Linked DNA regions of Lytechinus pictus. The protein of the gene in region 1 interacts with the protein of each later gene in a pairwise test. Links are inferred from orthologs where the notes say so. Each region holds a gene or a part of one and is shown in the gene's direction. Other genes may lie near its edges.

Evidence for each region.
Region 2: the proteins of exosome complex component RRP43-like (region 1) and polymerase delta-interacting protein 3-like interact in a two-hybrid assay, tested with the Homo sapiens proteins (2 studies listed by BioGRID). The link is inferred for Lytechinus pictus from reciprocal best matches to the Homo sapiens genes EXOSC8 and POLDIP3.

The regions. Positions count from the first base shown.
Region 1 is NW_026974140.1:15,580,646-15,589,395, reverse strand, and holds the start of exosome complex component RRP43-like, read left to right. Parts: upstream 1-5,231; 5' UTR 5,232-5,292; coding exon 5,293-5,309; intron 5,310-5,416; coding exon 5,417-5,453; intron 5,454-8,715; coding exon 8,716-8,750. UniProt on the Homo sapiens protein: Non-catalytic component of the RNA exosome complex which has 3'->5' exoribonuclease activity and participates in a multitude of cellular RNA processing and degradation events.
Region 2 is NC_087254.1:27,719,979-27,728,010, reverse strand, and holds the start of polymerase delta-interacting protein 3-like, read left to right. Parts: upstream 1-4,585; 5' UTR 4,586-4,700; coding exon 4,701-4,786; intron 4,787-6,233; coding exon 6,234-6,624; intron 6,625-7,284; coding exon 7,285-7,491; intron 7,492-8,032. UniProt on the Homo sapiens protein: Is involved in regulation of translation. Is preferentially associated with CBC-bound spliced mRNA-protein complexes during the pioneer round of mRNA translation. Contributes to enhanced translational efficiency of spliced over nonspliced mRNAs.

The DNA.
Region 1 (8,750 bases):
GGGGTGCATGGACGAAAATGCTATGTATTATATACGTGTATTCCAACAATTCCACTTTGGTTTGGTAATAAATTCGCCGCTAATCGAAATCACCTTTTTATGTCTTGAAAATGTACCAAATTGATCTTCATTAATCACTCCATCGATCTAGGGGTAAACATTGGTGCACAGAAAAGGAAAACGGGGTCTACGGTGCCCCGAAAGGTCGGGGTGCATTGACGAAAATACGGCGCCTGCTATTATGGCGTGCTATGTTATACGTGTATTCCAACTATTCCACTTTGGTGGCCGGGGGCTGGTAATAAATTCGCCGCTAATCGAAATCACCTTTTTATGTCTTCAAAATCAGCGAAATTGATCTTTATTAGTCATTCCATCGATTTAGGGGTGAACATTGGTGCACAGGAAAGGGGGACGGGGTCTACGATGCCCCGAAAGGTAGGGGGTGCATGGACGAAAATGCTATGTATTATATACGTGTATTCCAACAATTCCACTTTGGTTTGGTAATAAATTCGCCGCTAATCGAAATCACCTTTTTATGTCTTGAAAATGAACCAAATTGATCTTCATTAATCACTCCATCGATCTAGGGGTGAACATTGGTGCACAGAAAAGGAAAACGGGGTCTACGGTGCCCCGAAAGGTCGGGGTGCATTGACGAAAATATCACGCGAGCTGTTATGGCGTGCTATATATTATGTACGTGTATTCCAACTATTCCACTTTGGTGGCCGGGGGCTGGTAATAAATTCGCCGCTAATCGAAATCACCTTTTTGTGTCTTGAAAATCAGCGAAATTGATCTTTATTAGTCATTCCATCGATTTAGGGGTAAACATTGGTGCACAGAAAAGGGGGACGGGGTCTACGATGCCCCGAAAGGTGGGGATGCATTGACGAAAATACGGCGCCTGCTATTATGGCGTGCTATATTATGTACGTGTATTCCAACAATTCCACTTTGGTCTGGTAATAAATTCGCCGCTAATCAAAATCACCTTTTTATGTCTTGAAAATCAGCGAAATTGATCTTTATTAGTCATTCCATCGATTTAGGGGTGAACATTGGTGCACAGAAAAGGGGGACGGGGTCTACGATGCCCCGAAAGGTGGGGGTGCATTAACGAAAATACGGCGCCTGCTATTATGGCGTGCTATATTATGTACGTGTATTCCAACAATTCCACTTTGGTCTGGTAATAAATTCGCCGCTAATTGAAATCACCTTTTTATGTCTTGAAAATCAACCAAAATGATCTTTATTAGTCATTCCATCGATTTAGGGGTGAACATTGGTGCACAGAAAAGGGGGACGGGGTCTACGGTGCCCCGAAAGGTAGGGGGTGCATGGACGAAAATGCTATGTATTATATACGTGTATTCCAACAATTCCACTTTGGTTTGGTAATAAATTCGCCGCTAATCGAAATCACCTTTTTATGTCTTGAAAATGAACCAAATTGATCTTCATTAATCACTCCATCGATCTAGGGGTGAACATTGGTGCACAGAAAAGGAGGACGGGGTCTACGGTGCCCCGAAAGGTCGGGGTGCATTGCCGAAAATATCGCGCGAGCTGTTATGGCGTGCTATATATTATGTACGTGTATTCCAACTATTCCACTTTGGTGGCCGGGGGCTGGTAATAAATTCGCCGCTAATCGAAATCACCTTTTTATGTCTTGAAAATCAGCGAAATTGATCTTCATTAGTCATTCCATCGATTTAGGGGTGAACATTGGTGCACAGGAAAGGGGGACGGGGTCTACGATGCCCCGAAAGGTGGGGGTGCATTGACGAAAATACGGCGCCTGCTATTATGGCGTGCTATATTATGTACGTGTATTCCAACTATTCCACTTTGGTGGCCGGGGGCTGGTAATAAATTCGCCGCTAATCGAAATCACCTTTTTATGTCTTGAAAATCAGCGGAATTGATCTTTATTAATCACTTCATCGATCTAGGGGTGAACATTGGTGCACAGAAAAAGAAGACGGGGTCTACGGTGCCCCGAAAGGTGGGGGTGCATGGACGAAAATGCTATGTATTATATACGTGTATTCCAACAATTCCACTTTGGTTTGGTAATAAATTCGCCGCTAATCGAAATCACCTTTTTATGTCTTGAAAATGAACCAAATTGATCTTCATTAATCACTTCATCGATCTAGGGGTGAACATTGGTGCACAGAAAAAGAAGACGGGGTCTACGGTGCCCCGAAAGGTGGGGGTGCATGGACGAAAATGCTATGTATTATATACGTGTATTCCAACAATTCCACTTTGGTTTGGTAATAAATTCGCCGCTAATCGAAATCACCTTTTTATGTCTTGAAAATCAACCAAATTGATTTTTATTAGTCATTTCATCGATTTAGGGGTGAACATTGGTGCACAGAAAAGAAAGACGGGGTCTACGATGCCCCGAAAGGTAGGGGGTGCATGGACGAAAATGCTATGTATTATATACGTGTATTCCAACAATTCCACTTTGGTTTGGTAATAAATTCGCCGCTAATCGAAATCACCTTTTTATGTCTTGAAAATAAACCAAATTGATCTTCATTAATTACTCCATCGATCTAGGGGTGAACATTGGTGCACTGAAAAGGGGGACGGGGTCTACGGTGCCCCGAAAGGTCGGGGTGCATTGCCGAAAATATCGCGCGAGCTGTTATGGCGTGCTATATATTATTATGTACGTGTATTCCAACGTACAATTCCACTTTGGTCTGGTAATAATTCGCCGCTAATCGAAATCACCTTTTTATGTCTTGAAAATCAACCAAATTGAGCTTTATTAGTCATTCCATCGATTTAGGGGTGAACATTGGTGCAGAGAAAAGGGGGACGGGGTCTACGATGCCCCGAAAGGTAGGGGGTGCATGGACGAAAATGCTATGTATTATATACGTGTATTCCAACAATTCCACTTTGGTTTGGTAATAAATTCGCCGCTAATCGAAATCACCTTTTTATGTCTTGAAAATCAGCGAAATTGATCTTTATTAGTCATTCCATCGATTTAGGGGTGAAAATTGGTGCACAGAAAAGGGTGACGGGGTCTACGATACCGCGAAACGTAGAGGGTGCATGGACGAAAATGCTATGTATTATATACGTGTATTCCAACAATTCCACTTTGGTTTGGTAATAAATTCGCCGCTAATCGAAATCACCTTTTTATGTCTTGAAAATCAACCAAATTGATCTTTATTAGTCATTCCATCGATTTAGGGGTGAACATTGGTGCACAGAAAAGGGGGACGCGGTCTACGATGCCCCGAAAGGTAGGGGGTGCATGGACGAAAATGCTATGTATTATATACGTGTATTCCAACAATTCCACTTTGGTTTGGTAATAAATTCGCCGCTAATCGAAATCACCTTTTTATGTCTTGAAAATGAACCAAATTGATCTTCATTAATTACTCCATCGATCTAGGGGTGAACATTGGTGCACTGAAAAGGGGGACGGGGTCTACGGTGCCCCGAAAGGTCGGGGTGCATTGCCGAAAATATCGTGCGAGCTGTTATGGCGTGCTATATATTATTATGTACGTGTATTCCAACGTACAATTCCACTTTGGTCTGGTAATAATTCGCCGCTAATCGAAATCACCTTTTTATGTCTTGAAAATCAACCAAATTGATCTTTATTAGTCATTCCATCGATTTAGGGGTGAACATTGGTGCAGAGAAAAGGGGGACGGGGTCTACGATGCCCCGAAAGGTAGGGGGTGCATGGACGAAAATATAGCGCGTGCTGTGTGTTATATACGTGTATTCCAACAATTCCACTTTGGTCTGGTAATAAATTCGCCGCTAATCGAAATCACCATTTTATGTCTTGAAAATCAACCAAATTGATCTTTATTAATCACTTCATTGATTTAGGGGTGAACATTGTAGCACAGACAAGGGGGACGGGGTCTACGATGCCCCGAAAGGTAGGGGGTACATGGACGAAAATATAGAGCGTGCTATGTGTTATATACGTGTATTCCAACAATTCCACTTTGGTCTGGTAATAAATTCGCCGCTAATCGAAATCACCATTTTATGTCTTGAAAATCAACCAAATAGATCTTTATTAATCACTTCCTCGATTTAGGGGTGAACTTTAAATGGCTCACAAAAAAAGGGACGGCGTCTAAGATGCCCCGAAACCGACGCAGGTAGTGCATCAAAGTTGTAAATTTTACTGAGAATTTAATGTGGTCATCTACCCCCCCCCCTCCCCCCTGTTCCAAGGCCCATGTGAGAGACACTGATCCTTCATATAAAATTAATTAACAGATGCATTTTATTTAGGGAACAAGCAAAACTATATTGCACATAGGAAACTCAGAAGACATAAAATGGTTGTATACTCCGTGCTGGAAATAAGATAGTTATCAATAAGAGTTGAATTTACAAAAGAGAATCCGGAAGCAATCATCAAACTCTGATACTGAATTTTGAAGTAAGCAGTATTTTGTGAAAATAAAATGCACGCAGTCATAACTATCCATTTGAAGTGATCATGATGTCTTGTTCCAACTTTCGTTTTGCTTATAAAATGTTACGTGAAATCATTTTTTAATCATGTGATGTCTCTTATATTAAAATAATGTCCATAAATTAATGAAAAAATGCATTAAATATTTTTGATACAATATTTTTAATTCTATAGGAGGAGGTAATTTGAATAATCACGAATTCATATGATTAAAAAAGTGGGAATATACAGGAGAGATTACTTTTCTCCATTGAATGTTAAAGAAGAAATTTAAGGAATATAGAACTGGCCGAAATGCGGATCTTTAAAATATCATAACTCTACTATCCTTGTCCGATATTGTTAACATTTTACCAACTTTGTTTGATTCTTCTTGATCCGTGTTATTTTCAGCTGCACTCATGCCATATAGAAACATACTCCATTCAATTCTTTATGATTATATTCAAATGTTATACAAATCAGTCATATACTAACATTTGAAGCAATCATAATGTGGAATGGTGCATTATGGAAGTTCCATATTTTCAATCATCTGTAAGTTCGGGTAACTATATGCCTTTTTACTATACCATTTCCGTGCGCATTAAGACAATCTTCGAAACGTTTGAGAATTTAAGCTGTATTTAGGGTCTGCGACTATTAGACTACGCACACGGTGTAGGGCGGTTTGTATCGCGATAGCTCTGTGCGCTGGGTTTGTGCGCTGGCTTGCTTCAATATATTCTGTGCGCTGGGTTTGTGCGCTGGCTTCAGCCTGGTTAAAATTTAATCGTGTAATTCCAATCATGGCGGCCGAGTTCAAGTAAGCACGTGTGTTTGTTTACATTTTGTAAAATTTTGAAAAATCTAAATTTACTGTGTATCTTCATTACTTAAATTAACATAATGTTGTTTTCCTTTGTATTTCAGGACCGCACAGCCGGTGGAATACTACAGACAGTTTTTGGTTAGTATGATTCTGAACTTTAGATTTAGATCAGAACTGAAAATAAATGACTCACTTAACTTAGATTGTTAGACTTAGGGCCTAGTCTTACTCTTAATTAGATTAGAGTTAGTTACACAATGTCAATAATGTGGGACTAAGAGTAAAAGTAAGTCTGAGAAAAAAAAGTGACTGACATGACCCATGTCAGTGAGTGAGAGGAACAATGCCATGAATGGGAATTATTACAAAATAATGTGTTTTTTATTTCTATACTATATACCCTATGACATGTGTAGATTTCAAGAATGTCGACCAGTGTTACACTTACAGCCTACAGGAATTTTTACTTGAAATGTAACTTACTTATTTTACCTTGGTCGGAAGTAGGCATAAAGTTATACACAACTTATTTGCCCCTCTGACAAGGCTGAGCTGTCATGCCATGGCCATGGGCATCAGGGCATGCATGGGCGGAAATCCCAGGGGGGACGTGTCCCCCCTACTCAAAATAGTAGGGGGGACACAATATCAAATGTCCCCCCTACTATTTTTGGTCTTTTATGATGGTAAGAAATACATCATTTTAAATTGAAATAAAACATGAATTTTTGGACGAGATGACCTTACTTTGGCGATGATAACCTTTTTTTTGCTTGTCAAATTTTCCCGCCCCTTGTCCCCATAGGCGGATCCAGGGGGCCGAGGGGCCCGCCCCCCCCCCCCCCCCCCCTCTTGGCGGAGCAAAAAAAGACAAAAGGGAAAGAAAGAAGGAAAAAAGGAGGGAAAAGAGAGGAGAAAAAGAAGAGAAGGACGACGAGTGCATAAAATAAGATGAGGGGAAGACTTGGAAAATAAAAAGTATCTTTCGTGCCACTATATAAAATTTTCGCTCGCGCTTCGCGCTCGCATTGCCTGTTAGGTGATTTACATATCTTGTTCAATATGGAGTTCGAATGTCAAGTTTGGATTAGGAAGTCAACATACAAAACATATTTCACCTCGGAAATCGAACTTTCATTAATTTGTGTAATTTACAAATTTGTTTTTAAAAAGTGCACTGTAAAAATGTCAGTTTTATTGTCTGAATGTTAACATTTGCTGCTTGCGTTGCGCGCTTGCAAATTTTGATTTATCAGGTACTTTATTTTCGTGTATTCCATAAAGTTTTCAAAATATCCCTTTTTCAGGTCAGATTGTCAAGACGTATCAGCTAGCGCGCTGTACAATCGCATTTTGATTGGCGAGTTATATAAATGTTTCAATATTGATTATACAACAAACTACTTAAAATCCCCTTTTCATGACAGTTTATCAAAAATTTTAGCTCGCGATTTGCGCTCGCATTATTAATGTAGGAAGACCCCATATTACTCATACTTTTGATGATTTACAAAACATGAACAGAGTGCCCCATTTTTAGATCTAAATCTCGAATTTTTTTCTGCTCGCGCTTCGCGCTCGCATCAATTGTTAAATTATATAGCTATCCTGCTATTACAAAAACTGATTAAAATTTTTTCATTCTTTCTTTAAAAAGTTCAAAATTTTTCAGCTCGCGCTTCGCGCTCGCATTTTTTGATTGTTGAAATATGTAACGCCTTCATGGCTAAGTGCAAGCAGTCCTTAACAGGTACCTTTTCAACAGGTACCAGTTCAACGCTTTGCGCTCGCATTATTAATACTCATCCTTTTCAGGATTTACAAAACATGAATAGAGTGTCTCGTTCAGTAAATATTATAGGACCAAATCTCAAAATTTTCCGCTCGCGCTTCGCGCTCGCATTAATTGTTTACTTATATACCTATTCTGCTTGAGTTACAAAAAGTGCTTAAAATTTCCATTCTTTAGGTGAAAATGTCAAAATTCAGCTCGCGCTTCGCGCTCGCATTATTTGATTGTTAAATGCTCCTTTAACAGGTATCTTTTCCATCAATTCATTTCTGCTCGCGCGTTGCGTTCGTAGTAATTATTAAGTTGAATACATCTTTTTCAGGATAACAAACATTGCCCAGAATCGGTTCAAATTTTAGGAAAAAATAAATAAAATTTCCAAAAAAATTAGCTCACGCTTCGCGTTCGCATCATATAAATAAGGATTATGATATTATATATTAATTTATAAGAATAAAGCTAAGAAGTGACTAATGAGGACAAACCCTTCAAAGAAACAAACAAAAATCATCTTCGTGCTGCCGATCGGGAAAATATGGCTGAAAAAATTTTCCGCCCCCCCCCTATTGGCGAAGGCTGGATCCGCCCCTGTGTCCCCCCTACCTTTTGGGAGAGATTTCCGCCCCTGAGGGCATGGCTATGTGTGAGTGTGATTGACCGTGATGACATGACCGAGTATGTTCAAGTAACTACTTAGAGTTAGACTTAGAGAGGTCAACATCTAATGATGATAACAGAAACGAAATATTAAGTTTATGAATATGAGACAATTGTAAAATTTTATTTGACTTTGTGGTTATGGAAATTGATAGGGACAGAACCTGATATTAATTTTTGATTTGCTGATGCTGATGTAAGAATTTAGTCTCTTCCCTTGATAAGGTCTACACTACAGTTGCACTTGCAATAGATAGTCTATTATTACTAGAGTAATCTAGATCTATGTGAATTCTGAATCTTGAAGTTGTTTTGCTTTTATGTTTCGCATAGAATAATGAATACTGTTTAGACCATTTTGAAAACATTTGAAGAAAAACAATTGCTTCCCATTATTTAAGAGGTCTTTTAATACTTGTTGTGCTTAGTTATGATCATATTCATTTTCAATGAGAGTCTTTTGAAACTGCACTGTTCTCAGTCATTTGAATTTTTCCTTATAGTTTTGTTATCTCTTCCGTTAATTTTTAAATGTCATTGATTTAACTAGAAGTTGGATCTTGATTGTTTCTTTCTTCTTGTCAAGTGAATGTTATTGTTTTCTAATCTCTACCATAAATTGAACTACTATATCATTATGAGTTCCATGACTTCCCATATTTTGCTGTCTTTATTACTTTCTGGATAAATATAATTTTAGTATTTGAAACACTTGGCTTTCATGTTATTTGTTTTAATCAACTTTTTTGTGCTATCTAGAGTAATAACATCATTTTAATTATCATTATTGCCACTGCCTACTGTTATTGTTGTTATTGATACTACATGTAAAATTAGTGGAAGTATAACTTATTATTAATACAAATTTTATTTATGATAATAATAAAATGATTATTATTATTAATAATTATCATTATTAACAATATTATTATTCCTGTTATTGTCCTGTAGAAGGAAGAGGTAAGACCAGATGGAAGAGAGTTAGG
Region 2 (8,032 bases), on another chromosome or scaffold:
AAATGCATTATGAAGACGATATATATTTCAACAATTAAATAATGCGAGCGCGAAGCGCGAGCTGAATTTTTTTTTACATTCCGACCTACATAATGGACATTCTAAGTACTTTTTGTAATTATGAAAGGGATAGGTATATAACTAAACAATAGATGCGAGCGCGAAGCGCTAACGGAAAAAAAAAATCAGACCTAAGAGCCTGATACTTTATTCATGTTTGGTAAATCATGAAAAATTCTGATCTGAAACTGGATATTTTAAGCATAAATGAAGGAAAGCTGGTGTGTCCCCAAAAACACGCGTGCGCGTGGAGTAGATTTTGACCTAAAGATCTGGGCATTCTGAATACTTTTTTTATCATGAAAATCAATGATGCGAGCTCGAAGCGCGAGTTCAAAATATTGATATTTAGACCATAAAATGGACATTTTACAGAACATTAAACAAAATCACCATTTGTAAATCAAGCAAAATAATTTAAAAAAGTATATAAAGCTCGATGTCCGAGCTGATATATGTTTTGTAGATTGACCTCAAAACTTGATATAGCTTCATCATCCTTTTGAGCGAGATATGAAACTCATCGGACAGGCAATGCGAAAATTGCATATAGTGACATTAAAGATTAAAAAAAAATCAAAGTCTTTCCCTCGTCTTCCTCCTCTTATTTTTAAAATCATGTTTTCCTTCTCTCTTCCCCCCACCCCTTTTAAAATTTCTTTCCCTTCTTTTCTTTTTTTATGCTCCGCCAATTATTGGGAGGGGCCGGGGCCCTCGCCTCCCTGGATCCGTCTGTGATAAGGCGTGGCGGCACTGTTAGAAAATTTATCCTTAAAATAAAAGAAGTTCCTGCAGCACCTGTAATCTTACCAGATTGCGTAATCTTACAGGAAATTGGTATTTGATGTATGGAATCTTACAAATTTCCTTAAATGAAACACCCATTTCCACTTTTTAAACAGACCTGTTCTGTTAAATTGAAGAAAAAAAAAAAAATTCTGTAAAATCACGTTTTTTTAAACAGTGGGAGTTTTTTTTAATTACCGATAATTAGGCCAAACCTTTTTTCATCTATGGAAAAAACAATCTCCAACTTTTCAATCTTTCTATAATCTTCCAAAATAATCGATTTTATGCAGTGTGAGTGAAAAGTGGTTTCAATTTCCTCAGAAATATTTCATAAGTTATTTGTCACATGCCACTCATATAGATTATCTTTTGAGGGTAAAATATCTTGTTCGAAAATTTGAAACTAAATTGTCGAATTCCGTTATCTAAAATAAACTGTATGCATCTTATAATATAAGACATCATGGGGCGGGGGGAAGGAGGGGGGATAGACCATAGACCTAAAGATACTGAAAGATACTGAAATTAAATACATTGTATACTGAAATAAAATTTGTCACTATTTTTAAATTGAAGAGATAATTTTTTTTGTGGGCCTACTCATCCCATCTAAGCTTCTAGTCATCATGATCACCATGGGCGGAAATCCCAAAGGAGACAGGGGGGACGTGTCCCCCCTACCAAAAATAGTAGGGGGACACAATATCAAATTTCCCCCTACTATTTTTGGTCTGTTATGATGGAGAAAAATGCATTACTTCAATAATACTTGTGTTTTGGACTAAGGGTGAAAAACTTTTTTTTTTTTTTTTTGCTTGTCAAATTATTTGTGGGTTAAAATGGGCTTACATTTTGGGTGATAACCTTTTTTTTTTTGCTTGTCAAATTTTCAAGGCCCTGCCCCCATATACCTTTTTTGGGACAGATTTCCGCCCATGATGATCATAATAATATGATTAGAAGCCTATCGCGTGGCACCAACATTTTTTTGTAATTGAAGGAAAGCGGAAGGATTATCTGTTAACTGTATGCAAATAAGACTTTTTTGTTACTGCTATAAGCACAATGACCAATAACCATCTCAGTCGAACTTCGTCAACTATACACAACAAAAAAAGTAAGTCCCCCCTTAAACAAACATCAATAATTTCCGAACCAATGCGAGTTTTTAATACATTTTTACATAAGCGTGTAGGTAATTTTATAAGCTATCCTCTGAGTAAATGTTATGGACATATTTTACGTCATGCTTCAGTGAACATCGTCAAAAGGCAAAAATTTCACTTTTCAAAAGTCACAAGCCAAATATCATTACTTTGATTCCATTTTATTGGATCTAATTCCACAATCTCATCATGAAAAACAGTCAGAAGGCTTGTAAAAGGTACTTTCTAAAACTGAGACGATACAACATTTTTTGGCTAAATTTCACGGTTGAATAAACACAAGTCCGAATTTGCTATAATTGGATCTTTTACACTTTTCTATCAATAAAAATTATAGAATATGATGACAGTTATTTTTGGGAAGAGTATCTTCAACAATATTCATCGTTTCACGGTTCAATGAACATTTATTGAAAACAAAAAATACGATTTTCAAATATCACAGGCATGTATTGTTTCATTTTGGTAATTGAAAATGATATTTTCTCAACTTTTTCGTTATTTTCATGACCAAATAACATGCTTCAATGATTCAAAGGCGTTTAATTAAACTTTCACGCTTGAATGAACATGTAATGTGATTAGCTCTTTTTTACGTTATTGGAAAAAATGCAATTTGTAACTATAGATATCTGTCACAAACCTCCTTGCATAGTTCATTTGATTTGATTTTATGAAAATCCCGATGTTTAATGCATCAGCGAGCACACAATATTCGAAAATCATGCAAATGAGAAGAAAGTTCAATGCCTTGGCCCCACTCTGTGCCGTATCGAATGGTTATTTTGGTGTGCGCGCCTTTTGGATAGTGTTACTCTGAAGCCATGTGCGAAGTTTTATGAAATAACTGTTGGCAGAAGTAACAAAAACCGTCCATGAAACAAACCCTCATTTCATATTTGTTATAATTTTGACCTTCTCTCTCATAGACTTGTGTACATTATAGGTGCATATGTAAAGGAGAATGAAACCCTTGAAACCAGCTGAATTCATATCAAAGAGAAAAATCAAAGAAACATATTGTTGAAAGCTGAGGAAGATTGAATGAATAATAAGAAAGTTATGAGAATTTGAATATTGAGATCACTTATGCCATGTAGTTCCTCCCATTGGCAATGCGACCAAGATCTGTGATGTCACACACGTACAACTCCCTCATTACTTTAATACTTATTTCACTTATATTCTCACTTTTATAGAGTCTATCACAAGGTGAGGAGTTCTCTTTATGAGAGGACAAGTACAGAGGTTTCACAACATTATATCATTGATGAATCGTTTGTCATATGATTATAATGAGCAAAAGGAGATGTTTTGGGGTATATTTTCAGTGTCCAAAAGGGGAGAGTTGTTCATCTGTGACATCATAGATCTTGCGCTTAGAAACTGCATTGTATTAAGCGCTATATAAAAGCTCCATATTATTATTATTTTATTATTATTATTGGTCGAATTGCCAATGGGAGGATCTCCATAGCATTAGTGATCTCGACATTCAAATGCTCATAACTCTTCTATTGCTAGTCCTATTTTACTCAAACTTTTGTTGATCTTATTCTTTGATTTTTCTGCTTTCACAAAAGCTAACTTGCTCCAAGAGTTTCATTCTCCTTTAAGAATAAGTAACCCCTTATTCAATATGGTGGAACTTTTTTCAAGGCTGTCTTTAGCAATGTCATTTGGCAGTAATGTTTATCAATCTATGGGCAGAATTTTGTGCAAAAATGAAAATTTCAAATGTGACTTTAATTGCTGTTGTTTTTATCATCCATCAAGTTCTATCACCACACACTTTCCGAACTTTAAACATTTTCAGGGTTGAGCGAGCACATTCGAAAACTTAGGAATGAATACTCTTTATACTGCATAAATTTCTCATGATCAGCTTAATTTATGGACAAATCAGTGGTGGATCCAGAATAAAAAAAAATGGGGGAGGGGCCTATAATCGGGGGAGACACCAACATTTTCAAATTTTAACATGATCTAACAAGTTGTAGAGGATACTACCATAAACCCCTATGATGATACGTCACAATACAGGGGTCGCGGAACGGTTTCAAAGTGGGGGGGGGGGGCTGACCATGCAAAAAATCACAATCGTGTGGTCATATTTACATTTTACATGCTTTTGGAAAAAAGTGGGGGGCTGAAGCCCCCCCCCCCCGCTTCCGCGGCCCCTGCAATACTTTGTGCTCACTCAACCATGAACATACGATATCAAAATTGTGTGTGGGGTGGCTAAATGATGGATAGTAAAACAGCATAACACTATAAAATTCACCTAAAAACTTTTGCCCAATTTTGTATTTGCACAACAGAATCTGAAAAACGACTCTTGTGACTTTAAAAAATTGTCATTTTTAATTCAATCTTTAATTACTCATGCATGACTTAACCGATCAATCTCATTTTTCACCAGGAGTTGCTTTGTGAGGGTAGAAAACCACCTCCGAAATATCATATCTCAAAATAATATAATTCAAAAGTAACTGCAATTTGATTTAGGGGGGACTTACTTTTTTTGTTGTCTATATTATCTTCGTATTTTGCCTTTTTGAAACTACCATACGCGCGCGCACGACACACGCTCGTAACGTCGACACACGCGGATTGACATACGACGCAAATTTTTTCTTCACCGAAAAAATAATTAAAATAATTAATTTTGATTGGTTCGTCCAGATGAAAGTCATGGATAAGTCTTTAGATGACATAATCAGGGAAAGGAAAACATCTAAAACTTCTGTCTTTCAGAACCGTTTGGGGAGGTAAGATATTGTTCTTCGCGACGCCAGGTCCACGGCTCACACAGGATGCCATGACCATCACTGACTTGCGCAATCCTTACGCACGCATGTCTAATCAATCTTTCACAATTCTGTGATACGGCTGTTCGAATTTCACAGGAGCTAAATCGCTGGTACCGCACATAAGTTGTGCGTGGTATATCGCATTAGTTCGAGTGGTCACTGGCTGCACTTTGTCTTTGATTTGCACCCGGTTGGCATGCACTTGACTTGTGCAGAAGTATTTTTGTGAGAGTGTGTGCTACCTGGGATTTATCATTTAGCTCATTTGAAAGAAATTAAATGATATCAATAACACAGTCATTATTTAGCTTATTTTATTCTTTCATATCCTGAATTAATAAGTTGACAATTGACATGACAAAAGATTTTACGATTTTGAAAATTAAATCCAATGACTGTTAAAAGTGTTATTCAATCTTGAACTTGCGACAAAGTTATGTATTTGTACTATTTGGGTTCTTACAGATGTGTTTCAATCAGAAATTCAGGTATTCCTATGATTATTTATGTCTGGGATCGAAAGTTTTGCGTCACCATCGCATCGGAAAGATGTGACCAGGGGCAGGGCTTGTAACTTCACCGTGCAGCTATACAGGTGCACACAACAATGTCCAGCATTAGACTTGGAAATAGTCATACAGCCAATTTAGTCTATCCATACTAGTTATACTAATTAATACATGTAGACCTTTGTCTGTTTTTAGAAAAAGAAATGTAAAACTTTCGATATCAGTCATGTTCATAAGACTTGTCTGTGCATGATTTGCAATTACTCTAATTAAGCATTACTCCATTAGGCCTACCGACAAAAGAACAATTTTGCATGGTATGGTACCATCTGTTACAGTGTTACACTGTTAATGTTGGGAAATTAAGAAAAAAAGCACAATAATTTTTTTTTTTTTTAATACATTTTCCACCCTGAAATTAAAATTGGACGACCTTCTTTTTCTTAGTTACTCCACTGCAGGATTGCCGTGGAGATGGAGTAGTGCCCCCTAAATAGAAATCAAACACAGAACAAAATGCCTGTGACCTTACACAGGGATTATAAATTATATAATTTCACAATCCATCCATTGAAATATGAGAAGCAGATAGCTTCCAGATTTACCTGTTTGCCTTTACATCCAAGTAAATCCAAGCAAGTTATTACCACGAACTCAGTTTTCACAAAGAACCGAAAGCAAAGTATGGTTCTGTTTAATTCCTCGCTTGACCATCTAAGCTAGGATACTTCATACAGAGTAAGCTTGCATATTCATTTTACTCCCTAAAAGCCTCCATTATTGATCATTCAACATAATGTAGAGGGTACCAATTGTTTAGCTTATATTCTTTAATCTAAATCTGATAGTTTAAATTGCTGTAAAATCAATGCAACTCCTATTTGTTCACCATGCAGGGGGAGAGGTAGAGGGGGAGCAGGTATAAGCAGGGGTGGGAGAGCACCTCAAGTGAACCCCAGGGGCCAGAACAGAGGCAGGGGTAGAGGCAGTTGGCAAAAACAACAATTCCAGGAAAAACCACCAGTGATCGTTGATGCAAGACAGAAGCTGATCCAGAAAGCCCACCAAGGTGATGCCCGGGACCGACTGGCCAAGAAAGCAAGGCAGACCGATGCAAGGGAGAAGCTGACATCGAGGAAGAGGAATGCAGATGGACAGGTGGTGGGGCAACCAAGGAGTGGTGGAGGGCAACTGGGGAGTGGTGGGGGCCAACCGAGGGGTAGTGGGGAGCAACTACAATCTCCTAGTGCCCCTCAGAGCAGACCCCTTGCCAGAACAGTGCCAAATGTAAGAGAACCAGAATATATTTATCGAAAACATTTTATTCATGAAGATCACATGAAGAAATTTTAACTGGCTTTGATGGATGTTTATTGCTAGGTAGAGAATCTTTCACATTATCATCACAGGAACATTCATTTTGATGATTTGTTTTTTATTTATAATTCAATGATCGAATTACTGTCCTTCATGTATGAAGTTATTTAATCTCCAATATGACATTGACAATGATAATACATCACATATTCTTTTTATAGTAAACATCACATTATTACCTTAAAAATGCACTCCCTTTGGACTCTGACTTAAGACTGCATACAGTATCCTACTATTTAGAGGAAAATTAGATTAAGTTTGACATTAGTTTCTTGGTTCAAAGTTTATCTTGTATAAAATCAGCTACTTGTGAAGTCTATTACCGTGTACATGTAGGTAGTGCAGATGATAATGTGCATGTGTGTCAGGTAATAAACTGGTTCATATTTTCCCTTTATGCAACAATGATTAATTTGTCAGCATTGCCATTAGAATGCCTTCTGTTTTTTTTCAATGAATTGTAGAATCTGAGTTTGAGGACCGCAAGGCCAGAGGTCAATATACATGTATGTTAGATTTAGAATTGCTCGCAAGCATGAATTAAATATATATATTTTTTTCCATTGGCAGTTGGGTTCAACCTTTACTGTGCGTAACCCTGCAAGAGTGCAGAACAAGACGCAGATCACCATCCGGAACCCACCTCAGAAGGAATCCCCATCGCCTATTTCCATGGCATCCTCTCACCATGGTACCTCCGCTCGTCAGAGCAGCAATCCCTTACTGGCTGGTAGCAGTACTCTTCGAGTCACCAAGGCTGTTCCTCAACCTCAAAAGGTAAGTCACCAGTCACTGTCAACTTCAGAAGTTGACTATCCACTGTATGGGTCTTCCTCAGTCTGCCAGGGAATTCTTTGCAAAGTTTGACACATGTCTCACAGTCCCTCATTCTTTCCAAGAAATGTTTCACCAAAACAAAAATATGTAATCAAAATATATTCTTGATAAGGGATAATTAACCTTTCTCTCAGGTTTTCTGGTTATTGGGCTCACCCCTATGATTTGAAACAAAACTTCAGAAGCTTTTGTTTGATGCACTACAGTACCTGTGAAGTCATGTTAGTAGTCAGTTGGGGAGGGGGGGGGGGTGGCCAGTGAGCCCTTTATATTTCTTGCTATCTCTTTAAGAGGCTTTGCAGGAAAGTATTTGCAATCAATTGCAAATTCTGATGCAAATTATAATTTGATACATAAATGCTACCGGTAAGTAGAGCTATTTGCATGTTACAAGAAGCACACCAGCAATCGAGTGTAAATTGTCAATTAATTGCCAGAGTTATAATTAATATTTGGACCCAAATTTGACTTGCAATTGAGT